Caenorhabditis elegans: one gene and its partners. The protein of the gene in region 2 interacts with the protein of the main gene of each other region in a pairwise test. Each region holds a gene or a part of one and is shown on either strand. Other genes may lie near its edges. The genes, in order: lsl-1, nhr-22, mxl-3 and irx-1.

Region 1 (6,548 bases), on a different chromosome or scaffold from region 2:
TATTTCTAGTTTTCACATTACCGATTGATTCACATTTGTGTTCAGAAACTCAATACATTCCTTCTTTATTCAAATAGTTTTTTCTTTTATCCCTCACTCTCCTCAATCTATTCTTTCAAACTGATTTATCTCTACTCCTCTCAAATCTGTGTGCTCTCTCGGGCAGCACCAGCAGCCCGGTGGTCATCATCAATCAAGCATCGTGGAGCGAAGAGAGAGAGAGACCGTATTAAGAAGTGGCAGATGTCGCCAGATTGCACCGTTTGCACCAAAAATGACAGTAGTTGAGAGTTTGCCAGTTACTTTTCGGTCATTGACCTTTCTTAGAAATACTCAATCAAGTGAATTGGACAATATGTTAGGGGGAAACGGTCCTTACAATTAGTTTATTTATTGTTCACTCGACCTTTTTTTTGCTAAAGAATATTGAAATGGAAGAGGAAATTGAAAAATGAAACTTGCAAATAATATTCCGATGTGTACTTAAGGCTATTTTCTGAAATTGATGCAATTTTAACGCTAAAACTTGCAAGAAACATTGGAAACTACTTATATATTACGAGATTACAACATTCTGAGCCGCGCAACATATCTCGTAGCGAAAACTGCAGTAATTCTTAAAATGACTACTGTAGCTCTTGTGTCGATTTACGGGCTCGATTTTTTGAATTATTTTTTTTTCGAATATTGAAAGAAAAATCGAGCCCGGAAATCGACATAAGAGCTACAGTAGTCATTTAAAGAATTACTGTAGTTTTCACTACGAAATATTTTGCACGTCAAACATGTTTTCTCAGAATATTGTGCTCCCGTAATAGTTAAATCGCTCGTAAATCCACAAAGCAAATGCTGGCCTAGTTTTCTCCTCTTTCTCTTCCATTTCAAATTCAAAAAACTCCCCGCTTTCTAGTTTTCAAAACACCTTCAAATCCGTCAAACATATAATCTTAAAGTATCAATATGCACCACCTCAACTCGTTTACCTCTTTAATGAGCCACCTGCACTGCTTTTCGTCTGCGTCTCTCACTTCTTCATACTTTTTTTTCCCGGCTTTCTCCGAAAACATCTGCTCTTTCTCTGTGTGTTCCCGATTCCCTCAAATCTTTTTTTGTTCCCCCGCGAGAGGGATATTCAAAACGTGTGTCTCATAAATGTAATTTATATTCTAGAATCTGAAATTGGTTGTTTTTCCAAATTAAAAGAAGTATCATTGATATCCCCAACCCTGTGTATTAAATGTCTTAAAATCAGAAATCATCTTCTCTCATTATCACAGCTTTACCATTCAAACATTCCCCCAAATTGTCTTTTTCTTCACCTTGTCCTGCTTTGGTTGTGCTTTAATTGTGAATTTCCCAACTCCTTTATGCTTCTTTTTTACTTCCTTCCTTAAAAAACTTTGCCATCATCCAACGTTTGTTGTATTTTGTCTTCCATTCATATTTTCAAAATGAAAACTTCATAAAAATGAAAGGAACAAGTGCAACAGAACAAAACAATTACACGGGCGTTAGAAAGACAGGGATGTGGGGAAAATTCAGGGGAAAAACTATGCTGATGGTTTTAGAATGTTCATCTCATTTTCAGTGTTAGTGATCATACTGTAGCAGATTTGAGAGATATCGACTTCTGGAGAGCCCTGAAACAAAATAATACAATTAAGAATTAGCAATATTTAACAACTCACCATTTCAAGTTCATTATTACGAATCATCAATTGAACACGAGAATGATAGCTTTGGTGTTGACGATACATATCTACGTCGGCGAATACTCTCATGCATTTCTGAAAATAAAGTTTACAGGATATTCAAGATTTAATTTTCAATTATTTACCGTGCAATAATTTGGTTCTTCAGCTTCTTTCTTATCATGAGAAGCATACATATGCAGTTGACAATCCTCTCTTCCACTACATTCGCACTTGCAAATTGGGCATCGAAAGCTGTAATTTTCAGATTTTGCATGGGATATTAGTAAGACAATAATTATAATAATTTGCGGTAAAAATACAAACGCTGGTCTTTTCACGTCTTCTTTTTTTGTAAAATACAAAAGGGCGTGCGCCTTTAAAGAGTACTGTAATTTCAAATTGAATTGAAACTTACATCTCAAACTCGAGTGGTTTAGCTTGTTCTAGAACATCGGATGCCATGTGACAGTTAGTCAATCGCATTGTAGCTCTCATGATTTTATCGTCAAATGAAGATAGTGGGATAAGCTGGTTTCGGCAGATCATATCAACCCATTTTGAAGGATCTTTACCCAATAAAAGTTTCGGAACCGATCGCTTCTTCTCTGGATTGTAATAGGGCATCGATGTCCCACGAATGACTAGAGCATCGGACGGAATAATTCCAGACGAACGCCGATTGCTGAAATCATTTTTAAGACGAGATAGATATCAGAATTCCCCTCGTACAACACATATAATTCGTGGTTCGTGTATTATACGGTGGACGTACAATAAATGTATTATTCACATAATATAATGGACGAAGTTCTTAAAATTCGTGCAATGCAATGTGAATAACATATTTATTGTACGTCCAATGTATAATATACGTACCACGAACTATTTGTGAAGGTGAAGGGTCGACCGATTGCCAACCTCGAATATGGTCTATAAGCAGCTTCCAACTCTTCTTTGCTTGTCACATGAGTTCGCATGTGCTTTTTCATGTTTCCTTTCAATCGGAACTGTTTTCCACAAAATGGACACACATAAGGGGTATAGCCGGTGTGAACGGTACGATGCTCGAACATATTCGATTTGTATCGGAATCCTCGGCCACAAACATCGCAGATGTATGGTTTGGTGTCGGTATGAATCACAGAGTGCTGTTGGAGACCTGAAATGTTTTTTTTTATTTCAGCTTTCTATTTTTATGCGAATAACCTTTATAATTCATAAACATTTTATTACACACATTACACTGATGAACAGCAAACGGGGCGACTTCTTCTTGTTGATAGGTTCCGAACTAGAAACATTTCAATAATCTTAAAAATAAGAATCGAAATAAAATACCGTTATAGAAGCTTCGTAGTCCTCGCCGTCGTAAGATGGATCCGTTCGGTCATCAATAATTGACATCTGAAGTAAAAAATAAAATTTTTTGAAGAAAAAATGCAGACAATTTGTTGGTTTAAACATAAAATTAAGACAAACAAAACTCATAAATTAATTGACAGCTTCTCTAAATTTTAGGATTACCGTGTTTGACAGTTTCGTGGTGAGACCCAAAAGTTTCGTTGCGTCATGCGCCTTTGAGCACAGTGTCCCCAACAAAGAATTGTTTCTGCAATTTCGAATTAAGCTGAAAACATTATTTATATATTTAACAAAATTAGTTTAGAACAGAAGAACAGAAAATTAGAACATTTTCGATCTTTGTATTTTTTATACAAATATAATTTGAATAAATTTCCATACTTCTTCCCCGTTGTGTAATTTCTTTACTTTTCAGAACTTAAAACATTCAATTATTCTTTATTTTGAATTTTCTGTAAAACCTGCGCAATTGAATTTTATGTATTTATCAAAACAATTTTCAGCCATGCTACAGTAACTTCTTTAAAATCATCATTCTTCCTTGTCTAAATCGGAAATCTGTCTGTGTCCCGTTGGTCTATTTTGTTATTCGTCTGCAGTTTCTTCTACTTGTGCACTATATCGTTTCCACTGAGCGAGAGAAAGAGTATACACACACAACACATGCCAGTTCCTGTCCTTTGCCGCCCATCACCATTTTTTTCACCGTTTCGGCTCTGAAATGGACAATTCGTCACAGAGCAAACCGTCTAGTAGTTCGTCCAGTCATTCGCCAAGTCCTGCCGCAATTGTAAGTTTAATGGATTTTGAGTAAAGAAAAATAACGTTTTCTTGTAAAAACAGTATTGTATTTAATTTTTAAAAAAATCAGTTGAAGACGTATAAAGCCTGCTTTTACCAAAACTATCAATAAAAATCACTGAAAACTCAATAAATTAATAAATTCAGACACCAACACAACGAACAACACGAGATTCCGGATTGTGCTCAACAATTGATATTCCCGAAATTCAAGCACAATGTATTGATAATTTAAATAGTCATTATCTCGGAAAAGGCACTTATGGATTGGTTGAGAAAACAAGATATAGAAAAACTAGGCAGGATGACTTTAGGTTCGTTTCTAGCTTCAAAAATTTAAATTTAATTCTTTTAAAGCATGAGGAATTATCAAAAGTTAACAAAAAATCAATAAAATCACCAAAATATTATTTTCAGGCCAGCAGCAATCAAATATTCTTCTCAACTTCATATGGCAACTCTTATAAGAGAAGCAAAAGTTATGTGGGATCTCAGAAATCATCCTAATATTATAAAGTATGTTTTTATAAATGGAAAATACTGAAAATAGAAGTTTTTCAGAATTTATGGACTGTACAAAAGCCCTCGGAATGGGCAAGGAGTCGTTATGGAATATATGGATTGTGGAAGCATGGCCGATTGTGAGATTTTCATTTAAATTTAGTGAAAATCCCCGATTTCGCCAAATTTTTTAACATTTTGTCGGTTTATTCCGTGTTTCTTAGCGAATTAAACTACATTTTTTCGGCAATAGGAACAGAAATTTCTATCAGCTAAAAATATATTAAAATACATCAAAAAAGCGGATTATACTGCAAAATATGGAAGAAACTGAATAAAAATCAATATATGGACGCTGTAACACGAAAAATCTGGCAAAAAAAATTTCACTATAATTTTGAACAAAAAAAATGCTATTTGGTTTTTTTTTTCCATTTTTAGTCTTAAAAAAATCGCTTTAAATTCTCCAAACCCTGTTTTTTACGAAATTAAAAATTCATTTCAATGAGGCAATTCTCCAAAATAAAATTTAGCTGAAAAATCTATTTTTTTTTCAGTACTCTACGACAGAACACACATTAATTATACAATTGATCATGTGGCTTCATGGATGTTTCAACTATCATCCGCCGTCGATTTTTTCCATTCCAACAGCCAAGTTCACAGAGATTTGAAACTTCAAAAGTGAGTTTTTGATAGCAGAAATTATTGAAAGAAATATATATGTTGGATGTGAAGATGTTTTCAGTGATTTTTGAAAATTAACAGAAAAATATTGAAATTTTTTTCTTTACTATTAGCTAATATATTAGGTAAATTTTTTAAAAGTTGAAAGAATTAATGGCGGAGATCCTGTCAATTTAACAATTTAGATTTTAGAAAAATTCAACAAAATCTTTTGAAATTTTAAGTGAATTTAGTACAGAAAAGCAGAAATGTTTCGAATCCATTTTTAGACATTCGAAAAATTAATTTTAAAGGGTTCTACATTTTTGTGTGAGCTATTTTTTTTATTTTTTTAAGCAAAAAGTTCCTTGAAAATTGGTCCACAAAATAATGTGTAAAATCTAAAAAAAATCATTTTTAAAAAATAATATTTCAAAGTGGATTTAAAAATATCCTCCAAGAAGAACTAATCATATGAAAATAATTTTAAAAAGCCATTTTAAAAGTAAAAATGAGGAATTTCTTAATTTTTGTAGCTTTTCAAATTTCAATAAATTATCAGAAATCTTTAGCGGTCAGTTTTCAAAATTAAAATTAAATCACCTACTGTGGTCAATCAAAATAATTTCAGCATGCTTCTCTCTGATCGATATCGAACAATGAAATTATGTGATTTTGGAACATTTACCTCAATGCATCAATCAATGACTTCAAATCGTGGAACTCCAATCACAATGGCTCCAGAAGTATTTCGATGTGAACAGTATAATATGAAATCTGACATCTACAGTATTGGAATTATAATGTGGCAAATTATTGCTAGAAATCATCCGTATCGAAGAGATCTCTCAGTTCCTGGACTTTTATATAATGTTGCGACAGCTAACTTACGTCCACAAGAACTCGAATGTAATCCTATTTTGTCTGAATTTTATAAGAAATGTTGGAATGATAATGCTGATATTCGACCGACTTCTTCCGAATGTGTAGAATATTTTACTCTTCTAAAAGATGTAAGTTCTTTTAAAAAATTAAAAATTAAATACTCAACCAGTTAAAAACAATTTTTTTGAATTGAACAAATATTTCTAAAAATACAAAATTAAAATTTTTGGACAATCTCGAAAGAAGGTGCTGCAAAGCAAATTAAATTTTTTGTTTTCGAATTTTTTATTGCGAAGAAATTAAAGTATTTATTGAATTTATTTTAAAGTTTTTAAATTTTAAAAATTGTGTTATTCCAACACAATTTTTAATTTTATCTGAGAATTACTGTATTCGTGATAAGACCTGCTTTTCTATGAAACATATGAATCTCGCCAAACTCCAAAAAAACTAATTTTTTTTGCATTAAAGGAATATCCGAATGGGAGCGTACCTTTATCGGATTCTTCAACAAATGGACCAGCAGAAACTCCTCCACCACATGCTCATCGACCAACAATGCTTGGAACTTCTTCTGGAAGTGGAATAGGATCAAATAATCGAACACCAACTGCTTCAAAACTTTTAAATCCTCAACAA
Region 2 (8,785 bases):
AAACTGCGAGATCAGAGTGAGTGAAATTAAGAAACGATATTACAAAAAAGTGTTTCAAAAATGTTTCAAAATTTTTTGTTAGAATTAATCAAAAATGTGATATTATAGAATATAGAATTTTTGTTACCATCATTAGCCAGACGCAAAAGTTAGCGATTTTAGTTCCAAAGGTACAGCACCTGCCCTCGACACGATATATTTCAGTTAATTGCGAAAAGGCGTGCGCCTTTAAAGAGTACTGCGGAATTTTAATTTCTAAATCTTTCGATAAAACTACACTTAAATAAAAACTTTGAAAAAATGTAAAAAAATATGGCAGCAACAAGCGTTTAAAGTTACAGTACTCTTAAAAGATGAATATGTATTTAATAAAAAATTATCGTTTCGAGATACCGTAATTTTGAATGAAAATCGAAAACTTGGGAAATTAAATCCGCTTCCAGAGTACAATGCCCCAATTCTGCTCTCAAAAATGTTTTTTTTTCAGTTCGGCTCAAATAATGTCTCTGGCATGGAATCCGTCAGGCCGAGGTCTTCTAGCTTGTGATCGTCAGAAGACTTGTACACTCTGGAGATGATCTTCAATGTATGAAATTGAATATAATTGTACAGAATCATCATCTGTGTTATAAATGTGCATATCCATTTTTAAAAAAATAGTTTTACCCGCGTTTTTCATGTTTTCTTTCAGATTTTTCATTATGAACATTCGTTTGAAATAGAAAAAAATTGTATGATATTTATACATTTTAATTTAAACCGGTAATCCTCAAAAAATGCCTGAATATTACAAATTCTGTGTTATCACCACCTATCCCTTGTATTCTATGAACATAAAATGCACATTTTCTTATCATTTCACCTGGTTGGCTGACTGACAGTCGTTTGGAAACATTCGAGTTTTCTTAAATTTTCTATAGTTTCTGATGCTAACCTATGAAAATCAGTTCAAAATGATGACAAGAATACAGGAAATTAATAATTTCTGTTCCCGCAGCATGATGATATTTTTTGCCGATGAATAGTCCTAATTCTTCGTCATTGAAAAAAATTTGCTCCTTTCGATCTGAATTTGAAAAAAGTTTATTAAAAAAAGTATATTTCAAATATTAATGATTTCTGATTATTCTGCATTGCCAGGAAAATATTTTCATATAAACTTGTGAAAAGATGTCAATTTCTGAAAACAATTCGGCCAGTTTTCTGAAGCAGTATTTTACATATCTTCCAGGGTTCAAAAGATTAGTACTCTCAATGAGTCGCAGACAGCTTAGTTGTTTTTTCTTTCGTATTAATATACTTACATTTTCTTTTATCTCTAATTCTCTTACATCCACCTTTTCCGCAATCTCTGCCACTGTCGGCGATCTCTTGTTCTCGCACGTTTCTCTCTAATTCTATAACGAACGTAAATCTTTATTCTCTCTATTATTTTTATATATATTTGTGTGAAATATTCAAAACTTGAGTATTTAAATTTTTTGAAAAACCATAAGTTCAATGTGATAATTTGAAATTTTCCCATCACGTTTTCGATTAGACAGAATGAAGTTTCCGTTCCAGTGACTATAAATAGGCGAAATTTAATTGAAAATAGTTTTGCATTATTTTCAAACCACAGACTTTTTATTCATACATATATTTGAAAATATTAATTCAGTGAATTGCAAATTTAAAACTCACATTTCTTTAAAATTAATGAATCAATTTTCTATCTCTTGCCGTAACAAATAAATAAATCCATATATTAATATCTTCTCCCCTTTGTCCAGCCAATTTCTCATCTCCTCCAATTAGCCTCTTCCCACCTTTCTCTCTTCTTCATTTTCCCCCAATTCTGTTCTTATCAGTACTAACCTTGTTCGGTCCTTTCTCTCTCTAACCTCTCTCTTCTCTTTTTCTTACTCTCTACCATTGCCGCACACCTCCATTCATTTTCACTTTAATCAAATATGTCTACGGACCTTCTCTATGAATATTTCTATCCACCTACCGATTTATTCAAAAATACTTTTGAAGACGTACCACCATCTCCTGAGTCTCTGGACGTTGGTGATTCGTTAGGATCATCTCCATCTTACGATCTTGGATTCCAACCATCATTCGATATTGACTTCTGCATTTGGAAAGAGGGATCTTCATCACCTCCACCGGAATCGAATCATCTCCCAGAGATTGTAAATAAAGCTTCAACATCTCCACGTGGAATGCCATCTCCATTAACTGACAGTCGAAGTTGTCATGTCTGTTCATCTCCCACTGCCAATACTCTACATTTTGGAGGTCGTTCTTGTAAGGTAAGCAATATGATCAAGAAAAAAATATTTCTCGTATCAATTATTAATTAGCACTACTCCGAAAAAATGAACATTTTTTGTTTTTACAAGTGTTGTACTTTCGTTGTTGTTGTACAATATACATTTTTTGTTTTCTGGATAACAATTGAATTTGCATCGGACATTATTACCCAGGCCCACGGTATCCTGCCTCAGCGCAACATATTTTTGTTAAATTCGAAACGTTGTGCGTCTTTGAAGAGTACTGTAATTTCAAACTTTTATCATATTTTTTATCATTCAAACTCGTAAAATCAACATTTCTAGACTTGAATTTTTGTTCTAAAAACACCGATAAACCGTTGGTTTCATTAGTGATAATTGTGAAAAAAGGTCCTAAAGTATTTTAAGGCGTAATAATATAACTATGCTTTGAAAATGTGCCAAAATTTGTAACATGCTCGCCACGTGTTTTTATTGTTATCCTGTGTTATCTAGAAGTGTATTGTAGTCAGGTATTTTCTTTTTCCGTCTGCGTATTTCGACGAAACATCACTTATTTTTGTGGCCATTTGTGGTATGTGTCTCACACTATTTGTTTTTGTAGTCTTAAGTGTAGCTAGAATGACAATAGAAGATCTTCATCTGATCGGATGTTTGAACACACCACAGTACAGTTCCTGTTTAGAAACTAGCTCCTTTTGACCAAGTTTTGTATGATAATCTTACTGAAAACCACGAACAAATAGAAAAAGTTGTTGATAACGTACATCACACTTTGCATGCTTTATGTTTAAATAAAGAGAAAATGAAAAGTACAATTTGCATCACTAATACCTCCGGAAACATGTTTCTCACAATTTAATTGGAATAAATTTAATAAATGAGCATATTTTCAGGCATGTGCAGCATTTTTCCGAAGAAGTGTTTCAATGTCAATGACTTACGAATGCATTGGCACTGGAGATGACACAAATCCGTGTAGAACCCATTACGAGCTCAGAATGATATGCCGTCACTGTCGGTTCATCAAATGTTTAGATGCCGGAATGCGCAGAGAACGTGAGTGATCATTGACAAGGTCATTTGTCACATGTTCAATTGGCCAAAAAGTCCGAGGTACAAAAAACAGTAATTTGTTGTTTTGCAGTGGTGCAAGCGAGAAAAGAAGAGACGAGAGTTGCAAAACGACGTTCCAAGGGATTGGTTGTATCGAAAAAGGAAGATGACGATGTTGAATCTTCGTATGATGAGTATGTAAATACATATACAAATGTTCAAGGTTAGTTTCTAATTTATTTCGAAAATATTTTTGAAGCCCTCGACTGGGAAATTTTTTAAACCCTCTCCTATGGTAATAAAATTCCTAAGTATAACAGTTTAACGTTTCAAAAAATTTTTTAAATTTTTTAGTTACCGTCAAAAGTGGGCAAAACTCAGTTTTCATCTATCACAGTTTTTGGAAGTTGACCAAAAAAAATATTTATCTACAAGTCCTTTTTTTTACAGCGTTTTAATTGTTTTAATTGGAAAAATTCCAGGGTTCCAACTTGTAACAATTTCTACAATTTTTTGAAAATTTGGCAATTCACCAAAACTGAGGTTTTTTAAACTCTTAATCTTTTTGGAAAGTTTTTATGAGATTCGGTTATGTTAGAGTATTATAAGTGTATCTATCCCGACTGACGATACTTTAATAATACCATTTGTTGTTTCAGATTCGAGCCCGAAAATGGAATCAGGGATTAATGAAATGACGATTCCTGAGTCATACCTTTCACCGGATCCTTCATCTTCTCAACCACTTGATATGACAGTAACACCTCCACCACTGCACCGTTCAACTCCATCCATACTTCTTACTCCAGCAACTGGTGACCGTATGCACTGTCAACGTGTGCTTTCCAATTCTCCTCCATTCGATATACACCAGGCAAGCACCAGCCATGCAGGATTTATTCAACATGTACAGTTCTACCCAGTCGTTGAAGTTGAAAATAAAATTTTCGAATTAGTTGATCATTATGTAAGAACAGAAGCTTCATTGAATGATCGAAGGAAAATAATGTACACGGATACTCAGATAAGAGATGTTTTCGATACAACTTGTGAATGTGTGAGTTTTCAATGCACCATATCCATTTCTCACAATATTCTCTTTCAGCCCTACGAAAATCATCAGCTGAAACCTTTCAACTATAAATCATTTTGCGGATTTGTAAAGCACGACTTTGTTATGATTCTTGATTACGTGAATCAATTTCCGGAGTTTCAAGCTTTACACAAAAATGACAAAAATGTGGTCTATCGAATGGCTTGCGCCGTAGATTCAATGCTTGCATCTGCCTATTATAGCTATAAGTGAGTATTTAATGTTCAAAAATTAGATTCAGTCAGTTTTTCTACAGAGTTGGAATAGAAAAAGAACGTCTAATACTTTTCAATGGTGACTATATCAATATGAATCCGATTCCAATAAGTGGAGATGAGCCAGGCGCGGGAACAGAGTTTCAAACCCCGCAAGAACATGAAAAGTACAAGTGAGTTTGCTAAACTTTTTTAAATCTCAGTAAATTGTTATCTTGCAGAACCCTAATGCCACTGAAGCTAAAACAATATTTCGATCTGGCAATTCCGTTCGCTCGACTAGAAGTCTCATTTGAAGAATACGTACTTCTGAAAGCTCTCATAATTTGGCAAATCAGTAAGTAAATAATATCTACAGTAAAGTTTTAAAATTCTCGTTTCAGGTAACTATCGGTTACTAGAGGAGGGACGAGCAATTTGTGCACGGCAACGAGACACAATAGTTCAAGCCTTGCATAAAGTAGTTGAAGAACGAGGTGATGAGGATCCAGCTATTCGAGTTGGTCAGCTTCTTCTGAGCATGAGCTATATAACGGTTGGTTCCATCATCAATTTGTTATGAAAAATTAAATGAGTTTCAGGAGCAAGTACAAGCAATGACAAACTCTTACCTTGTAATGACTTTCTTTGATGTTGTATCCTGTGATAGTATAATGTACGACTTACTATCTTTCAGGTAACAAAATTCTAATAATTTCAAAGTTTAAATGTTATCAAATTATTTCAGAGACGACTGAAACAACCATCGTGAAGGTTCTACTTCATTCATCTGACTTTTAACGACTATTAACTTACATAGCTTTATCGCGTAGCTTTTGTATTTAAAATTGTGACATTTTGTTTATATTCTGTGATTTTCTTTTTTTGCCATATTCGTTCAAACTCTCAATTCAGATCTTTCAAAACATGTGTAAAATTGAACTCATTTCAGTTGTATTGATATACATTTAATAATTAAAAAATTTATTCAACACTTGACACATGACTAGGGCTATAAGAAGTCACCGAATCATCCACATAAACCGGAAGAACGAAATATTGCCAATGCGATTGTGGAACCAAATATGGTTTGCTCCAAAGACGTTGCAAGTCACCCGTTGGTGGAGTCGAGTCAAGAGGAAACCTGAAATAGAATGGATTAGAGATTATTGAGAACTATGAATTCACCATTCAATAAGAATATTGTGATTCAACGTTGGAGATTCAGCTCTAGTACATTGCTCGACTTCTATCTGAAATTTCGACTGTTTTTGGTAGCTCTAGATGTAGTTTTCACCGAAATTTCTTTGCCGGGAGGAATCAAAAACTTCGATGGATACAACTTGTAGAAGCCAGTGGTTGACAACAGAGCTCTACAAAAAATGAACTGTATTTAAAATAACCAGAATAATTTTCGCTGCAGACCTCAACGCCAACCAATCATTGTTCCTATTGTTCTTCACATTCAATATAGACAATCCAAGCCGTGGGACATGGAATGGCTGAAAATAAAATAATGTTGCAATATATTTCACTTTAATCATTCTCACTCTCGGATGGATATATGTCATTTCATTAAACTCGCTCTCGATTCTCGTCTCACCAGATTGAGTACTCAGAATAGTTGGAGCCACCTGGCTTGGGGTCTCCTCGCTGATTCGTGGAATTGGATCAATATTAGGCTTCAATTTACTGAGCAGGTATGTTTGGATGACAAGCAACATATGATAAACCAAAATGAAGAAGTGTGACAGCTGAATCAGAAGTTTCGTTCAATGTTGGAATAAGGCTATCGGAATACCATAAACTGCCAAATTGCTCCATTTAGTCTACAATAGCCAGGTTCATGATCTTTGTGCCAGAGACAAACTGTAGAAAGAAAGCATTCATAAACAAATATTGGGACTGTAATCAGCTTGAAAATAGCAAGGAAGAGTGCACCAAACTTGTTGATATACTTTCGATCTTTCTGAAAATTAAAAGATATGGAATGGACTAGAATTAAAAAACTTACAACATAAATGAATAAAGAAAAATCGAAAATGAAGAATATCAAGGGAAATGAGAAATATAAAGATGGACCGATTCCAGCATCGAAAATCTAAATTAATTTGGTTGGCCTGTGATTACTGGCGTTTTACCTGATACAAGAAGTGCCGTGGTGTTGTGAAAACTCCTTTTGGATGTTTCATGCAAACTTTTCGAAATGGAAAGTATATGGTTACCAATGATAGAAGGAGGAATAGTGACTGAATAAATGTTTTCTGGAATAAACTATACATTAAATCCCAACCTTTGCCCATAAAATAGTCGTCATTCTACTCTCCTCTGGTATCACAATATTATATTTCGGTAAATATTTCACTGATTTCATATAGAATGTGACTAGCAGAAGAACCACACACGAGAGCCCAACATGACCAAAGACTAGCCACCAAACTTGGGACATTGTCCATAATTGTGTCAACTCGGCCATTTTTCGCTTCTCCGGAGCACATATTTTGGGTGAACTTGATGAAGTACAGCAACAATGGGTATCTCTTGCTGGAAATGGAATGTTGAAAATAATATAATTTATTTCAAATTTACCATCACCCAGGCAAACTGATGACTCGTCAGTTTTGTTAAGCAAAACAGCACAAGAAAGTGTTGAAAGTTTTGAAGGTTTTTGAGAACAATCAAATCTTTCAATATCTCCTTCTGATGTGGCATGGAAATGAGAAAAGCATATGTCAGACGTGCACTGGTTATTTCCATTTTGATTGTTAATGCACTGGTTCGAAGATCCCGAGGATAAGGATCTGAAATTTTTACTATTTCTGAGATATCCACGCAGGACGTGAAATGGTTGCATCTGACTTCCAGTCGGTCTACCCGCGTGCCTACTGCTAAAGTACATGTAAAAACAAACTTTCAGCAATAAAAACTTTAGTGAGACGTTTGTAAATCTACACCGCGCAAAATTCAAAATGACATCAGCCACGAGAGAGACAGAGGCAGGCAGGTATGAGATTTGCCTGTGCTCCTGGAAACAGATAAGAAATTTATAAACTCACAAACTACATAAAACAAAGACGATAACTTTTAGCATGCTGGGAAACTCAAAAATGATCTTTCTTTTTTGTTTTACGTGGTTTTTGTTTTATTTTTGAAATATGAACACGTAGAGCTTATATGAACTATCACGGTAAAATTACAAATAATAAGATTCTATTTATATATTAAAAAAAAACAATTCGACATTCATTTTTCAACTTTAAACGCTGAAATTGGCACGGAGATAACATATCATTCAGAAATCACAAATCAAAAACAAAAAGATGGAATAGTTGTTATAATTAATAGGAAAATTATTCGAAAACAACCCATTTTGGCAGGAAAATATGTAAGGCTGATGAAATGAGAACAGAATAAAGCATTTGAAGAAGGGATTTTGGGGAAACATTTACACGCAACGGAAAGGTCTTCTGAGGATTATGGAAATTGAAAGAAGTCTAGAAATGAAAGATCTTATAGAAAGTTATGGAAGAACTTGAAACCGTGGGTTCTTTTTTGCTGTATAGCAAAGTGCTCCAAATGTGATTGAGACTGCAAAGAGAATGACTCCGAGAAGAAGCCATAAAACTGCATATGGTAAGCAGACTGCTTTCATTGGGACTTCTTCTTGTGATGATGATTGTTGTTCTTGTGGTGATGGTAAATCAGCAGCTAAAAACTTTGATGTATCTTCATGTTTCTAATAAATTTCGAGTATGAAAACTGTTCTGGAAACTCTCTGTGGCTATAAGGAACGTGTTACCTATCTTGAAAGCGACCTACTCGTATTTCGATCAACAAATCACGATCCTTACATTACACTGGACGCAGGCTACCTTTCACAAAAGACGCAGCATGCCTTGTGGACATTTTTGAACTAACTAGATCATTCTAGCTATAACGCATAAAATATATACAAGTACCAAAGTCTTACCAAATGCACTATCCAAAATTGTGATATCTGATGACACATCAACATCCGTTGCATCTCTTCGTTTTATCTCTCTTTTTGTTGTTCTTGGTCCTTCAGATGAAGTCATATGTTGAGCTTCCGCATGTGCAGGTGAACCTTCAGAAATCTCAATTCCAGATCCTTCAGCATCTTCCCACACGGTATTGTTACTTTT
Region 3 (6,178 bases), on a different chromosome or scaffold from region 2:
AGTCATAAATTGCTCGCACATGTGCTACAACATCAGCAGCTGAGCAAGTGATTCTATATGCAGGATTCGATTCCAGGAACTAGACATGTGAAAATTACGATTACCAGAACTGATAAATCATGTCTGCTGAACTTAGTGACTTGGTTAGCCAAAGTGTGATGTTTCACTGTGAATGTTACATCACTGAAACACAAATTTGATGGAACTTATTGAAAACTGTTAACACGTAAAAAAACAGAAAAGTAGCAACAAGTTCACCAATCTCTTCATAATTTTTCAAGTCCTAAAAATTGTAATTTTTGCAGAGTGTCATATGCTCTATTGCGGTCTTCGTGCCGACTATGTTCTGCCATATAAACATCTTCGAATCAGTGGCTTTCACCAACAACGTGTTTTGTCTGTTGGGTATTGTCATCGCATTCTTCGTGCAAGTCATGCTCAACATGCTCCCCGACATGTTCACGGGTACCCATTGGTTTTGTTCCCCTCAATCTTAATTAATTTCTTCCTTAGTGTTTCATTGTAAACTTTTATTCCAAAAAATATCTGTAAGCTAAATGTCACCACATCTCATTTTCAACCATTCCTGTCACTTTTTTATCGACATTCTACGGTTTCTAGACCTTAATCTTTTCCAAATTGTGCCAAAACTTTGTTCTCTTCGGCGAAGAAGGGAAATTTTGTGGTATTTGTTTCGCATGTATTGTATTTGTTCGGATAATTTCAGTTATTAAATAAATTTTGTTTGAATTATAAAAAGCGTAACTGAATCATTTATTGTAGAAGTAACTGTGAAACTTATGCAGTTAACAACTTTTGACGTTTTTTTTTTTAACAATTGTCAATTCTTAGCAAACCCTGTTAATTTTAGGAATTGACAAAATGTCCATCTGCCAAAAATGTCTTATTGCCGCGCACCCTGGGAAAGATGCTAAAGTTTTTGATTCTCCCCGAACAATTCGGTCCTCATAAAACGTAAATTTTATATAATTTCTCAGAAGGCTTTTTTTCTTGAAAATAAGAACAACTGCAAAACTTGATAAATCTGTATCACAACATATTCGTCATATTTCATTGACAAACTCCCAGCGATCTTCGATATTCCTCCTTGAAGGTTCAATGTTGAGTTGTTCAGTGAACTGTCCTCGTTCTCTCAAGTGTGTTTTGAATTGAAACAACTATTTTTCCGTTGGCTTACGATGCGATTCTCGCATTTGATATTTTGAACCAATCATATCATCAAGTCATTTGATGACACGTGTGATGATATGCCTCGCATATTGTTTTACGAAATGGCCTCAGAGAACACACATTATAAAGAAAGAAAAGTGGAATAGAGCGGTTTTTTTTGGATACGTGATGAAATATGATTTGACTACAACAAAACGTTAGAGCACTGTACCGTGTACTTTTTGAGTTGATATCATGTTTTAGAGCATGCTTGTTTAGAATTGCAGGAGCAAAGTGCAATAAACGACCTATTTCAAAACAGCAAACCTATTCCAAAGATTTTTGGCTTTCAATGTAGTGCTATGTGTATTCAGATTTTTTTAGATCTACCAGGGGTGTGCGGCAAAAATGAAAATTTGCCGAGCTCTTTTTTCTAGTATATGCCAAACTCGGCAAATTCGGCAAATTTGCCGGAAAAGCTCGAAAAAATGTGATAATTTTTGATATTGTATGGGGCACCAAAAATGGTGAATTCTAAGCATACTTTTGATTTTTTCACAAGATCCGTGTGGTCTATCTGCGTACAAGTCTTGCTTACATGTTACTTAACTAGAAGTTTTGGAGCAAAATCAATGGTTCCGGTCAAATTATGTTAGTCGAATTTGTGATGTGTGTGGCAAATTTCAAAGTTTACCGATCTCGGCAGATTTGGCAAACCCACTTTTTGGAAATTTCTCTTGCTGGGCAATTTCGGCAAATTTGTCGCAGATCTCTGTTATGTATAATGGAAAATAGTTACTCTAATTTGTAAGTGGTAAAAAGCATTGTTTTCATCATTTCAATTCTATAAAAATGACCACTACTAAAATCCAAATCTTTTCCCCATGCAAAAGTCCAGAGGAATAGACATAAATATTTTTTCTGTAAAAATCCTTAAAGTATACGACTACTGACGCGTATATTGACCATTAAATAAAGTTGACAAGAAAAGTAACAACCTGTTTACTTTGCAGCAAAGAACTACGGTAGCTGAAAGACTTTCTATTGGGTGCCTTTATAAATTTTAATTTTTTGCAATGTGTTTTACTGGTGTTGAAAAAATGTTGATATAAATATTTATTATCAGTATTTATTATCGGCATTATCAATAAATAAGATATCATAACTGGAACAAATCAGTGAGTAAAAAAAACTGAAATAATATATTGTCAGATCAAGCAGGCAATTCTTAAAGTACACGTGAAACCCATGTATGTCCGGAGAAACCGAATGGATGTTTGGAATGTCCGAAGAAGGGTTCATGACGACCGAGTAAATGAGATCAAAAAATATTAGAGAATTCGAAGGGTGGGGGTATCTAAGAAATAAAAAAGCCTTTTTGAAGGTTTTTAGATTTTCACTGCCATTTGTTGATCAACCGGAGAAAATGCACAAGGATAAAAGCCAGAAGGTGGAGTACCAGGTGCAGAATCCAAAAGCGATGGGCTCACGCTTTGAAAGCTTCCGAGTAAAGCCAAGATGGCATCATTGTTAAGAGCAATAAGCCCATCTAATTGAGCTGGGTTTGTGGATTGAGCAATTATACTGAAAATACTTAATTGTTAAAATCAGATTCGGAACAATTTATTTGTTTACTTACTTTGCTTGTTGTGGGTATTGAGACAGCTGTGCAATGTTTTGCATCTGTGGGATAATTGGCATGGTGAGCTGCATTTGGCTTGAGCTAACAGCAAGAGCTGGAAGCCGAGAGGAAGATGGAGAACCGGAAGACTCGCGTTCGAGCACTGAAAATTAGAAATTGAGCTCATGAATCCACTAGATATCCATGTAACTTACGCCTTTCCTCAAGAAGCTCGTTTTTCCTTGTGAGATCTTCAATGGCTTTTCCTTGACTACTGAGCTTAGTTTGCATGACATGGATGAACTCAACTGCTCGTTTCAGGATCAGGGCTCGCGACGATTTCTCCCCATCAAGCAGTGGAATGGCATCCTTAAGAATGGTGAAGTGATCTTTGATATGGTCACGTCTTCTGCGTTCAAGTTCGTTGTGATGTGCACGACGGTCATCATCCATGGATGGAGAAGCCGACTTCGGGCTTGAAGAATCGTCCTGGAAAAAGAACAATTAGTAAAATAAGGGTACAACAGAAGTTTAACTTACATCGGAAGAATCCGAGTGATGGCGTTTGCGGAATTGTTTTTCCATTTTCATGGATGAAGAAAGCAAGTACATGTCTTCAACGATTGCGGACATGGTAGAGATGTTGACTGTAAATTTAATATATATAGCAATGAAATATCAATTTTAAGAGAAGGTTATATAAGAATACTGTAAGTGAAAATTATCACAAACAAAAACAAATACACAATTAAACAAAAAATATGTAAAAGAGCCATGCGACCATCTTCGAGGGTGTCGTTAACTGTGGTATGATCTGCAATGCGAGAAGGAAGATATAGGAAAAGGGGCGTTCTGTCTGACAGAAAGGGAGGAGTCGACGCGCCGCCTCCAACACGCGGTCAGCGTGTGTTCTTTGCACCTCAGCCACTGTGGGTGCTAGGGTGCCCGGAGAAGTGGCGCTCTTTGATATAAGCTCTGTAGCTCCGCCCATGTTTTGGAGCAGAAGGTTATAGCCTTCCCCCATTTTGTCAACCGATCACTGAAATCATGTGAATCTTGCGGGGATCTCGTAAGGGTAGCATGCGTTTGTGGGAAGGATCAAGATGAAGCATTCCTTGAGAGGGTACAAGGAACAAATGTTTTGGAAGAAATTCTGAGGATGTCAGCAAAGAAGCAATTTGATTGGGAGAAGCACAAATATGGCAACACGGGGATGTCAAAAAGTGCAAACACTCAAAGAATGCGTAGCTCAATTTTAATTTCGATGGTGACGGTCGGGTGCAACGCATCCTCTCATTCACATGCGCCTTCACGTGCCGTGTTCATTTCTTGACGACAAAAAATACCCGAAACTTTGTTTCCTTGGCTGCCTTGACTTAGTGTGCGTGCATCGTGATGTGTGCAACGCACAAAGACCTCTGATAACATTGAGTGAGCTCAAAATGTAGGTCAAATTACTTCCGAATGATGTATGGTGGTGTCAACAGTACCGTACACCTCTAGGAGTGAACAGACTCAGGCAAAAAACTTTGCAAACAAACAACTTGGTGTACTATGACCCCAAACTTGTTAGTTACTTTTGTTTTTTTTTCTTTCAGCAGTGTGTGGCCTAGGGGACTGTAGCTAAACGTTGTAAACAAATTAAACATGTGTTGTTGTTTTACAGAAAAAAATTTGAGTCAAAAGGCAAACTTCCTCTAAAATAAAAATGTATTAACGGCCAACATATATTCGAATTCCTTGTAGTCGTTGACTTTCAACCAAAAATAAATTCGTTCCTACAAAAAATCGCAGATTATCATACTAAGAAAGAAGAACATCAAAATATATGTTTCACTACAATTATAACAACAGATCATTTCAAATTTTCGCCCTACATAACGCTACATAACTCTGTAAGACTTGGAGTAATGTCAGATTCAATTCTTTAATAACTAAATTTTTAAAACTTTTTTGCAGTTTTAAAATCTCTTTTTTCACTGTCAATAGTCATGGTGGTGGTATGATAATTTTTTCCACATTTTCTAGCACATAGGTCTACTGAAAATGTATTTCATTTCTCTGGAATGATATTTTTAGACATCGAACGTTTGGGTTTTTCAGTTTAATTGCTCTATCACGTAGGTCATGCGACGCTCACTTAATGAACCCTGAATTGATTTTGATTTTAGACGACTGCGATAGAAATGTGATCGTACTTTGGGCTAACGTAGGGGGTGAATATGATTTCGCGCCAAGAACGATCAGATTTCACAATTCGGATGTTGTACAGTATCTACAGAATTTAGTGATATGGACTTTGATTGGAAATTTCAATAATATTATAGTTCAAATGAACTAGGGTCATTTGCACAAAGCGAGGGTGGGTGTCTTGCTCGTGCAAAAAATTAAAAGAAAAAAGCACGCTGACGATAAGCTTTACAAAATCCTTTGCTAATCTGTTGAAAATCACAACTATATATCAATAATCCGAAAAACAGCGTGGTGGCGGCTTGTTCGATCAAGTGTGTTATCTAAACGTTAACCACTAATCTCTCTGGATCAACTCAGATTTCTTCGAGGGAGTAGCTCTGGAAAGATAAAACCGCCGTGCTGTACATTACCAGGAATTTGGGAAAAAGATTTCAAATAGAGCTGGGTTTTCTTTTAGAAATCCTTGTTTTTCTTTGTTTTTTTTTCTTGAATCGAGAGAATGAATCAAATCTAAAATGAATGTAATCGGGTAAACACGGAATAAAAAATACAAAAGTTTAATATTTGAATATACCTTGGATTAACCACATTTAGGTTTCGTGAAACCGGCATTTAACCGCTACAATCAAGCAAAACCATTGCTAATTATGCATTGTACCACAAGTTAATCAAATACACATATGGATACTCTTAGTTTTGCCACCATTTGCAATTTCAGTACTGCTACTCTAGATACAGATATTTTATGGCAAAGCTCGTGAATGATTATAAATATTTTATTTTATAGTGCGGATGAATCAATCTTGACTGGATTTTTGAATTGTGTCTAAACCATGTGATTCTAATTGTTTCAATGCAATCTGAAAACTTATTTATTAAAGGCTATGAATCAAAGATTTGTTTTTTCGCCAAACTTTAGAGCGCAAAGAAATTGCATTTTTATACCAATTAAGTTAATATATTAATCTATTTGAAAGTGGTTTTCTAAGCTTTTCTTAATTTTTAAGCCAACTTATCCCCTATTTGGCAGTCATCTGATTGCTTGGAATTTACACTAATCCACACCCTCAACAGATTAAATGAGGGTGGATGTAAAATTCATTCTCTTTCAATTTCGATCCCAACGTGATCAAAGAGCATATATTGGTCCAGTTGTTTCGTTGATCCCCGAATACACCTTGACTTGCTACGTCG
Region 4 (9,302 bases), on a different chromosome or scaffold from region 2:
TAAAATTTTTAATTTTTTTTGTTTGAATATATCAGTTATTCCTATCCCAAACATTACCTGTCTGTCAATAGTCTTTGGCATTCCACCTCCTCGTTTTCTGAACTTTCCATGCTCATCAACATCATCATATCCTTCGATGTATGTATCTGAAAAAATTGGAAAGTTTGTCAGTACGAAATAAGCAACTAAAACTTTCTTGAATATTAAAAAATATTTAGGTAGTTGCGGAATTGAACATCAAATTAACTTATTCTTCTTGTCAGAAACATCCACATATATCATAATTGAAGACTCCAAAACATTTTTCAAGATTTCAAAATTTTAGCCCAAGTTTTGGTAAATTTAAAAAAAAAAAAAAAAAAAAAAAAAAAAACATTTTACAAATTGTGACTTTTTGAGGTATTTTGAGCACTTTTGAAGACTGTTGACAATGTGTGAATAATAATACTTGAAAGGTAATTGAAATATGAACTAGAAATAAAACAATTTTTTTTATATTTGCTATTTACAAATTTCGGGAGTTATATAAATAAATAAAATCCCATTATAATGCATTGATTACCATTATTCCATGGAGGACGGTTATCCATAGTTGACTGGCTTTGACCATTTTGATGAGGTTTTCGGCTTCGAGACCTTTTTCGATCTTTCTCAATACCATCCCGGTGAACATCCTGAAAATTTAAAATTAGTAAAAATTAAATTAAGCGGGTAACTTACATATCGGTCAACGTTTGACATTTTTGAGATGTTTTTGAACAAATAATGAAAAAGAAAGAATGGTGAAAGGATTTCTTGAAAAATATTTTATGTGCTCAAATGCGCAGGATGTATCCATAGAGACAATTCACTTGCTCATGCTTTTCCAAATTGTATAGTCATGAATAATGGAAAAAAGAAAGAAACTTTGAAATGTTGAAGGATAAAAGCAAATACAGCATAGAAAAATACCACATTTTCAGGTATTTCAGGTATTGATTTCTACAAGTTTAATTGATAATAGCAAGTGTTTAAAACAGTTAACTAAAGATTTGAAAACATTTTGAGAAGATTTTTTAATTTTCAAAGATGCAAAATGAGATTCCGGTATTGTGCCTAAATATTTTTTCTTTTTTTTTTGTATTTTGGAATAATGCGATTATTTCAAACGATTTAAAGCACATTCTGCCTTTATTGCATTATGTTATCTGAAATTAGAATCCACGATTAAAAATTATATTTTTTGAAACAGTTCTAAAATGTGGAACATTAAATATAAAGGTGGCAAATTTGGTTTTGTCTCATTTCCAAATTTTCCAAGAATCCAGACAACACAAATTCATTGTTTTCTAAGCTTCACCGATGTTTGTTTAGACGTCGTTGTCGTATCTCATTTTCAATTAGGCGTTTACATGGGTCACCGAGATGTGGAAAAATAAAGAGAAAATGCATGTAATTCCTTGTTTTTAGAGATATGGTGTGTGTGTGTGTGTCTAATGAATGAAATCTGCTGTTTTTGTTTTCACTGATTCATTTTTCACATTAATTTGAAACTACGCTTTGTAAATAGTAGGTCAAAACATTTAACAAGACAATACATAATCTGGAATTTTTTTATCAAGTGGAAATTTATTTATTTTATCAGATTTTTTAAGAATCATGATATTTCTTTTTAAAAAAAGCTTCCAAAATGTACATATGTCTACATTTACACATCCCCTAAATTTCAAGAGGTCGGCAAAAAACAGTAATGGGAAAATAAACTAAAAAGACTTCAATTGAATTTTTAAGTGGAAATTTAAAAAAAAAACGCTAAAACGTCTAAATATCATTGTGAACCTTTTCAGAAATTTTTATTTACAGCCAAAATGTGGTGATAACTTAGTTTTACCAATCATAATTTGACAGTCGACCAAAAAAAATATATCATCAACCAGTTTTATACGTTTTTAATTTTGTTTCTATAACCATTTGTGTTTTAAAAATTCTATGTTTTTGAACATGAAGCAATGCTCAAAATTACTTTAAAAGTGCACGTTCTTGATAACCGAAATGTTGTCACTAATTCAGCCTGCAATTCTTTGAAATGGTTGCAGTATTTTGTGCAATTAAATGTATATCCATTTTCATGATTTTTTGTTAGCTTAAAATATATTCAAGAAATAAATATTAAACCTTCTTCATTTTCTAAATTATGCGTGCAGGTTGTTGTATCTTTCTCACAAAAAACTGTAAATTGTCAAAGAAATGAGATGGGATTGTAAGAAAAGTGGGTTTGCGTGAAGAGATTTGAAGCGAATTGGTGGGAAAAAGCAAGAAAAAAAGAAAATTGTTTCTAAAGTACTCCAATTATTGGCGGGAAATTGAGAAAACCGATCATAAGCTCAAAAACTAGATGCATCCTGTGAAAAATTGTGTGGAATTGAAATAATAATAATGTTAATAATGTGAGAAAAAACTGGGAGAAATTGGGGGAAAAAATAGAGAAAGAGAGACAAAAAATTCATAGTCATGGAATTCATATAAAGTTTAAAAGAACATAAAAAAGCAAATGAATGAGAAAGAAAAAGCCTATATGGTGCTACAGTAACCGAATGAAATTTTTGATGGGATGTGAATATTTGGGAGACAATACTGTACTGTACATAGAGAGAGACCAAAATAATCGAAACTTAAATGGGATGGAGAAAAAAATGAAATTCAAAGACCCGCTGTTTATATCATATTTTCTCGATTTCAGAGTTCTTAGTGGAGGAGGTGAAACTTTGAGAGAGTACAATATTCATTTAAAAAAATTAAACTTAATAAGCTGGGGTTTCTACTCTTGGTGGGACCGTGGAGACGACGTTGGAGAAGATGCTGGAGATGGCGTCGACGTCTCCGCTTGAGAGTTCAGACCTGAAATTATTTATTCATTAAAATCAAGGCTTAAAAATTGTTCAAAGATTTTTTAAATATTGTATATTGCAATAAACCTAGGCACCAAGTCAATTAAGCTATATTTCAAAAGTTTTTGAAATTTTTAGTTTTTGAAAGTTTTAAGATTGAGTTGTGTGAAAAATGATCTGATTTTTTGAAAATTATTAAAATCTCCAAAAAGCTTTCAGAATGTTTTTTGCATCTAAACAACCTTAAAATCACTAAAATAATGTAAAATCCGGATTTAGAGCAGCTTGACATGCTTGTATTTGAAGGAATGCTCTGAGAAATTTCAGTTCAACGTTTCAAATAAGACTAGGCTTTCTAGTTTTTCCCCATATTGGTCAACTAGAATTGCTTTTACATGTTCAATAAGTTATAAGAAAGTGTTTCCCATCAACTATACGAACGGATCAAATCGGCAATTTATCATTCGGTGACTTGACTCCGGGAGCAGCGCTCCTTTTTTGGACAAAAACTGAGTGACGAAGAACACGCGGTTTAGAAAAACGAGCACACTAATCCGTGGGGTCAATGAGGAGACACTTACTTCAGTTTAAGCCCTTTTTCGTTGCCTTTGACGTTTCGAACAAAATTATTACATAGAAAAGAACTCCTCTTTCTGAGCTAAAACATTTGAAAAGGATCTAGAACTTAAGTGTAGACCCTCTTTTGTTAATGCCTATCTAGAAGCTGTAGCTACTGAACTTTCCCCTTATAATGTGTATCAGAAAACATACACCTATTATCAGTAAATATGGGATGATTAGTGCATTAAATAGCAAAAAAACTGAGCGTCACGACAGGATAACAACTTTAAAATTAAGAGGATTACGTTTCGACTTTTCTTGTTCATGTACAAGCACGCACGGTGTTCAACTAGCTGTCAATCATTCGGAATACCCAAAAAAAGAATGATAAGAAAAAGCAGACAGGTTGCCATGTAACAAAATGTAAGAAAAGTGTATTCACCTGCTCACCTCACCTGCTTCATTTGGAGGAGTTGTTTGTGGTGCCAAAAGTGCAAGTTGTTGCCCTTGAGCAGCTTGTTGGGCTAGAAGTTGGAACATGAATGGGTGCATTGTGTGACGGAACAAAGTTGGATCCAATCGTGCCATTACTTCCATTTGTTTTTTCATTGCGTTTTGGAACAAGCTTCCCGTTAATAGATTTTCGTCTGATGATGGTGGAGAATCCTAAATAAAAAGATGTTTGCTAGGGGTTACCATTATTCATCATCTTGAACTAAATTACTTCACTTTAACAACTTTATGAAAAATATAAGCTGCCAAAAGGCACTGCTGTATGCTTCAATGTATCTTCCAAGTACAGTAACCCATGCCTAAACTTTACAATATGACCCCCTGATCTCCCATCAATTCCTTAATGTACTTTATGAAAATGTATAAAACCATCATTCAATCATGTTTGTTGTTAAAGCGGCACAGTTTTGTCGGCTGCTTCACACTCACCTCACAAGTTTGCACATACACACATACAAATGATTCATACTAGTTTACATCTCTATAAAATGTGCAGAACAAGATGAAGGGAGAGGAGGACTCTTTATTTGCCCCTACTAAACATATAATAGTTTTTAAGTCCATTTCGTAAAACTGTTAGAATAAGAGGGAAGATGGGGAAAACTATAAAATCTGTACAATGTATTTTATGATCTAAACTTTTTTGCTCTCACCTTCTTTGATGAATCGTCATCTGAAGTGACATCGGCAATCGACCACATTTTTGGTTTACGCTTCGGACTTTCAGAATCATCATTTGGAATTGGGGATACTAGTTCTTTCTTCGGTGTTGTCAACTCATCTGATCCTCCAGATCCTCCCGAAGGCGTTGGTGATGCTAGATGTGGCTTTCCGAATAGGGATTCTCCTTTTCTTTCGGAATTTATGGATGTTGAGCTTGATGGACGGTTCATGTCATCATCATCGTCGTCTTCATCGTCATCACAACCATCGCCTCGTCGATTTTGTGGTGACCAAGTCATCTTGTTCTCCTTCTTCAGTCGTCTTCTGGCGTTAGCAAACCATGTCGAGACCTGTAATTAAAAATATAAATTTCAAGCTTCGGCTTTGTTTTTCGGGCTAGAGTTTATTTTAATAAAATAACTTCAAAGTTTTGGTTCAAACAATTTTAAAATCTAATTTTTGGCGCCAAGGTTGTGTGTTGTTGGTCTATTGCAACAAAATCAAACAAGTAGTAGCCCTATTTGGTTTGAAACATTTCTCGTATTGTGTAAAGAATGTCTCTCGAAACACATTAATTAAGCGGGGTACGAGGTGTCATCATCATCGCTTATCGCCTCTGTACATCTTTTGTTTCTCGCCCCTCTTTTTTTGGCATCGGTCAAAAAAGGAGACATTTGCCCCCGGGGTTTGATGGCCGGTGAGTGGCTAATGTTACAATAACACTGCGGGAAACACTGTCTACTACATTTTACAACAATATTTTTTGTGGTATTTGTAATTGATGACTAGAGGCGGCTCTAAAATCCCGTGTGAGCTAATAAATTGAGCAAATATTGTGGAGTAAATTACGAGATTACGGTTGGTAATAGGCTATTACGGCTATTAAATCATTTCACAGTGTTGCATTTACTAATTGTTGTCAAAACAAGAAATAATACAACATACCTGTGTAAGTGTCATTCCTGTACCAACTGCCAACATAACTTTATCAGCTTTTGATGGATATGGATTCTTTCTATGAGAATGAAGCCAATCTTTGAGTGGTGCAGTTGCTTCTCGTGTTGCATTTCTTTTCTTGATTCCATCTAAACCATATGGATGATATAAACGATGAGCATCACTGAAGAACATGGGCATCGGTCCTGGCCCTCCACCTAATAACATTTCTGGTTTCAGATCTGCTGGAATTCCATGTGGAAACATCGGAACTCCGGGGAAGCCAGCAAGAGTTGCTTGTTGAGCGGCGGCGGCGGCTTGAGCTTGAGCAGCGAGAACTTGAGCCATGGCAGGATGGAAATGAAATTGACCTAAAAGGTTTGGTGGCAGAATTCCGCGAAGTGCATCCGGAGCTGAAGTGGGTGGAGCAGGAGTCGTTGTTTGTGGTGTTGTGGGCTCTTCCATTTTGACCTGGAAATGGATTTACTTTTCTAGTCAGGTGAAGTGAAGGTATCCAAACGAATAAATCTGACATTTGGCATCTAAATTTTTTGGAAGGAAGTATTTTGAGACTGTGTTCAAATGTTGTCTAATCTAAGATTTATGTAAAAATTGGTAGGAATCGAAAACGAAAACCTTGTCCAAGCTTTGACAACTTCTCAACTGCAATTTTCTATATTAGACTTGCACCCCCCTCTTCCTTCACTTTGACAGTTTATATCTCAGTTCTTTGTGGTTTTATTAAAAAACTTCAAACGGACAATTTACTTGCAAAATAATTTTCTATGTTTTGGTTGTATAACACTTTTTGATAAAGCTGAAGGCAACCGAGATATAAACCGCCAAGCAGTGGCGGTGCAAGGTTAACATGGCAATTGGAAAGAGCAGGAAGTTGACTCCAAGTGTCAAGAAGGACAAAAATGAAATAAATAAATGTAAGAACACTACTTGAGAATATAGAAATTATAATTTAGCTTATTAAACTTATCGCTTAAAAACTGACCTGATTGGCAATAGGAATCATTGTGATGGTGTAGTAGAAGTAGATGTGTTGATCTCAGTACAAGTGCAGAAACAATAGTTGATAAGTATGATTATTTATGATCTGAAGAACACATTGATATCAGTTATAATTCCAGAGCAGTTTTTTGTTGAAAAAGATAGACAGAGAGAGTGAGAGAGAGGCAGAGAGGCGACGAAATCAAGAGGGAGCAAAGGAGGAGCGATTCAGTGATAAGCATAGAAGAGAAAGAGAAAAGGTTTGATTGATAATTCTTGAAGAAATTGAGATGATGTAGAACTATGTGGGACCTTATGTTCAACAACTTGTTGAGCAATCTCGATTTTCTGCAGATGCCCGCCCGGGGCCGTGTGTGTCTCTCTCTCTCTCTCAAGTCCCGCCCACCATCCAATAGACATGGAAGCCACAGGGCGGGGCCTGGAGAGTAGGGAAAGAAATTGAAGAAGCGCAAAAAACACGTGCGAACACGTAGATTTAACAAGATAAACCGGAGAAATTCACGAAGAGAAACGGAAAAGAATCGGAGTAAAGAGAAGTAGAAGAAGATGATGATGAAGGATACAAGAATCGAACGGAAAGAAAACAAATTGATGATATGGCAACTAAAAGAGATTGAAAGATAAACAATTAACCGTTCCAGCTAATGATTGTAAGAATGATGATGGTTTTGATATCTTACTATTTCATTGTTTAGTGTTATTATTTCCAAGTTTGATTCTAGAATTGTTATTTTTGTGCAAAAAAAATCTTTCGAACCTAATACCTCTCTACCTCTACCAATTATCAAGTTTGGGAATGAAAATTAAGAAATACAAGAACCAAAAATCTCAATAAATGTATTCACAAGGACGAAGAGCAAACAAGTTGTAAATTTGCTGGCTGGCTCACGAATGGAAACTGAAAATTGAAGCAAATAACGGGAAGAGGAAGCTTTGGAAGGATCATTGCATAGAGTTTAATCCGAAATATTGGCAGGATGAAGAGAAAAAAAGTATAAACATTTGAAAGTTAAAAAGTAAAACGACGGAAAATCTAGAGAGTACTATCAAATGACCCGAACACACAATGGCGCCACGAACAAAAAAAGGACAAAGGAGAAGAAGCTGAAATCAGTGAACTTAAGTCAAGAATGATACATCGTAGAAGCAATTAGGTAATGGTCAGAACGGTTTGTAGGGGGACAAGAATTGAGAGAATAGAAGTTTAAAATGGCATGTCTCTTGTTGTCCGAAGCGGGGTGTAAAGAAGTGTAGCTGCTGGATAGGGGGCGCCGGCGAGAGTAAGTGGCCAACGATGGCGCTGATGACGATGATGAAGAAAAAGAAAATGGAGAAGAAAAAGGTAAAAAAAGAGGACACGGTGTAATACATTTACTATTGTGTCAGTTATTGTGTTAACATCTCTCTTTGGGTCATTCGATCATTTAGTTATTACAACATGTAACAACAACACATATATAGTAACATAAAGTTGCAACAAAAAAAGTTCAATGGCGGAAGTTTGTACTAATACAGGAAGATGTAGGTACATATGAGCCAAACAAGACAAAAAGGTGTATGGTAGGGAGATTGATGTCAAACGATGATGAGAAAGCGATGGAGGAGGAGTCATTGGGCGGAGTCAATCGCCGGGGGAGGAACACGGGAGGTAGGAGGGTGTAGACATGAGGTCGCGGCACAATTTATGAGGAGCTGGAGCCAGAAGATGATGAAGCTGTGGAATTGAAGTAGAAGAAGCAACTAGTTAATGGGTTTTGGTGCTTTCCAGAGAGCGGTGTTGTTTTTTGTGAAAACACTGCTCACTTTTTTGTTAAATACATGGAATACGGTAGTGGTTGCAGAAAGGAAATACTTGGAGGTAATTAACGGAAAAGTTAAGCGTTCCGTTTAATCGAAAAAAGCGGGAGAAGAGTTGAATTCGACGGTGAAGAAGAAGTTGAATGTACCCAAGAGATTGAAGAACATTTGTTGATTTTTAAGAACTTCCAAAATAGTGGTTTTCCTAACTCATAAATGGGGTATTTTTCAACGAAGAAACTTGAAATGATCCAAACACGCAAGGCTTTTCCCTTTTAAAAGTTTAAAAGCTTCAAGCTAAAAACATTTGGTATAATTTTTAGGGATTTTCTTTGCCGCCGTTGTTTTTTATAGCTTTGTCACTAAAAAAATTTAAAGACCGTTAATCCAGAAAAATCAAGAGCAAAACCTGCTATCATAAACTTTTCATCGCGTTTTTTTATGAAAATGAAAAGTTTCTATATTGAATTTACTACTTGAATACCGAGCATTCGGATTATTACTTTGTTTTAACCAAGAGCAGATATAGAAAAATTGTCTGCCAGTATACAACTCTATTAAAGTTGCAATAATCTCTATGATACCCATAATATAAGTACGAGAGTGTTTTTGAATACATTGCCATATCTATAATTACAGTTCTTATTCTAACAGCTGGTAGAGACACCTTCTTGCCATTGTACCAAAACACATCGATCAACTCATACATCATGACACGTGTCTACAAAAAGGGGCATGAACTGGAAGAACTTTAGCAGGTGGGATATTTCAGATGGTACAACAATATATCTTAATCTGATCTTGCTATATAATATGGAAATTTATGTCATGTTATATACGTGGAACAGTAACCCAACTGTTAACATCGTCAATACCTGTAGTAGGAATTGATGAGATAAGACTGATACGCGGGACGATATATATTCATAAAAGTTGGTATTTACG

The links.
Region 1: the proteins of nhr-22 (region 2) and lsl-1 interact in a two-hybrid assay, tested with the Caenorhabditis elegans proteins (one large-scale study listed by BioGRID).
Region 3: the proteins of nhr-22 (region 2) and mxl-3 interact in a two-hybrid assay, tested with the Caenorhabditis elegans proteins (one large-scale study listed by BioGRID).
Region 4: the proteins of nhr-22 (region 2) and irx-1 interact in a two-hybrid assay, tested with the Caenorhabditis elegans proteins (one large-scale study listed by BioGRID).

What each region holds. Positions count from the first base shown.
Region 1 is NC_003279.8:9,897,829-9,904,376, reverse strand, and holds lsl-1 (C2H2-type domain-containing protein), read right to left. Parts: upstream 3,099-6,548; coding exon 3,033-3,098; intron 2,986-3,032; coding exon 2,901-2,985; intron 2,854-2,900; coding exon 2,613-2,853; intron 2,377-2,612; coding exon 2,110-2,376; intron 1,947-2,109; coding exon 1,838-1,946; intron 1,788-1,837; coding exon 1,689-1,787; intron 1,641-1,688; coding exon 1,551-1,640; 3' UTR 1,448-1,550; downstream 1-1,447. Other genes in the region: Mitogen-activated protein kinase kinase kinase mom-4, read left to right, coding at 3,778-3,846, 4,005-4,171, 4,275-4,373, 4,419-4,498, 4,916-5,042, 5,656-6,037, 6,381-6,548.
Region 2 is NC_003280.10:6,442,956-6,451,740, reverse strand, and holds nhr-22 (Nuclear hormone receptor family member nhr-22), read left to right. Parts: upstream 1-1,948; 5' UTR 1,949-1,952; coding exon 1,953-2,297; intron 2,298-3,175; coding exon 3,176-3,338; intron 3,339-3,426; coding exon 3,427-3,558; intron 3,559-3,994; coding exon 3,995-4,392; intron 4,393-4,440; coding exon 4,441-4,637; intron 4,638-4,684; coding exon 4,685-4,816; intron 4,817-4,864; coding exon 4,865-4,980; intron 4,981-5,026; coding exon 5,027-5,178; intron 5,179-5,224; coding exon 5,225-5,319; intron 5,320-5,370; coding exon 5,371-5,380; 3' UTR 5,381-5,546; downstream 5,547-8,785. Other genes in the region: atg-16.2 (Autophagic-related protein 16.2), read left to right, coding at 1-16, 488-578; K06A1.2 (uncharacterized protein), read right to left, coding at 5,607-5,766, 5,811-5,875, 5,920-5,995, 6,048-6,124, 6,173-6,376, 6,424-6,591, 6,637-6,723, 6,764-6,871 and 3 more; cutl-16 (ZP domain-containing protein), read right to left, coding at 8,143-8,330, 8,593-8,785. UniProt on the Caenorhabditis elegans protein: Orphan nuclear receptor.
Region 3 is NC_003284.9:13,347,367-13,353,544, forward strand, and holds mxl-3 (Protein mxl-3), read right to left. Parts: upstream 3,439-6,178; 5' UTR 3,425-3,438; coding exon 3,332-3,424; intron 3,281-3,331; coding exon 3,007-3,280; intron 2,955-3,006; coding exon 2,810-2,954; intron 2,755-2,809; coding exon 2,559-2,754; 3' UTR 2,273-2,558; downstream 1-2,272. Other genes in the region: ptr-24 (SSD domain-containing protein), read left to right, coding at 306-497. UniProt on the Caenorhabditis elegans protein: Transcription factor which regulates the expression of genes involved in lipid metabolism in response to nutrient availability. Binds to the E-box motif 5'-CACGTG-3'.
Region 4 is NC_003279.8:9,534,322-9,543,623, forward strand, and holds irx-1 (Putative iroquois-class homeodomain protein irx-1), read right to left. Parts: upstream 6,646-9,302; 5' UTR 6,565-6,645; coding exon 6,544-6,564; intron 6,012-6,543; coding exon 5,550-6,011; intron 5,350-5,549; exon of another isoform or gene 5,210-5,349; intron 4,955-5,209; coding exon 4,595-4,954; intron 4,095-4,594; coding exon 3,884-4,094; intron 2,878-3,883; coding exon 2,798-2,877; 3' UTR 2,144-2,797; downstream 1-2,143. Other genes in the region: C41G7.7 (uncharacterized protein), read right to left, coding at 58-146, 563-674, 721-741.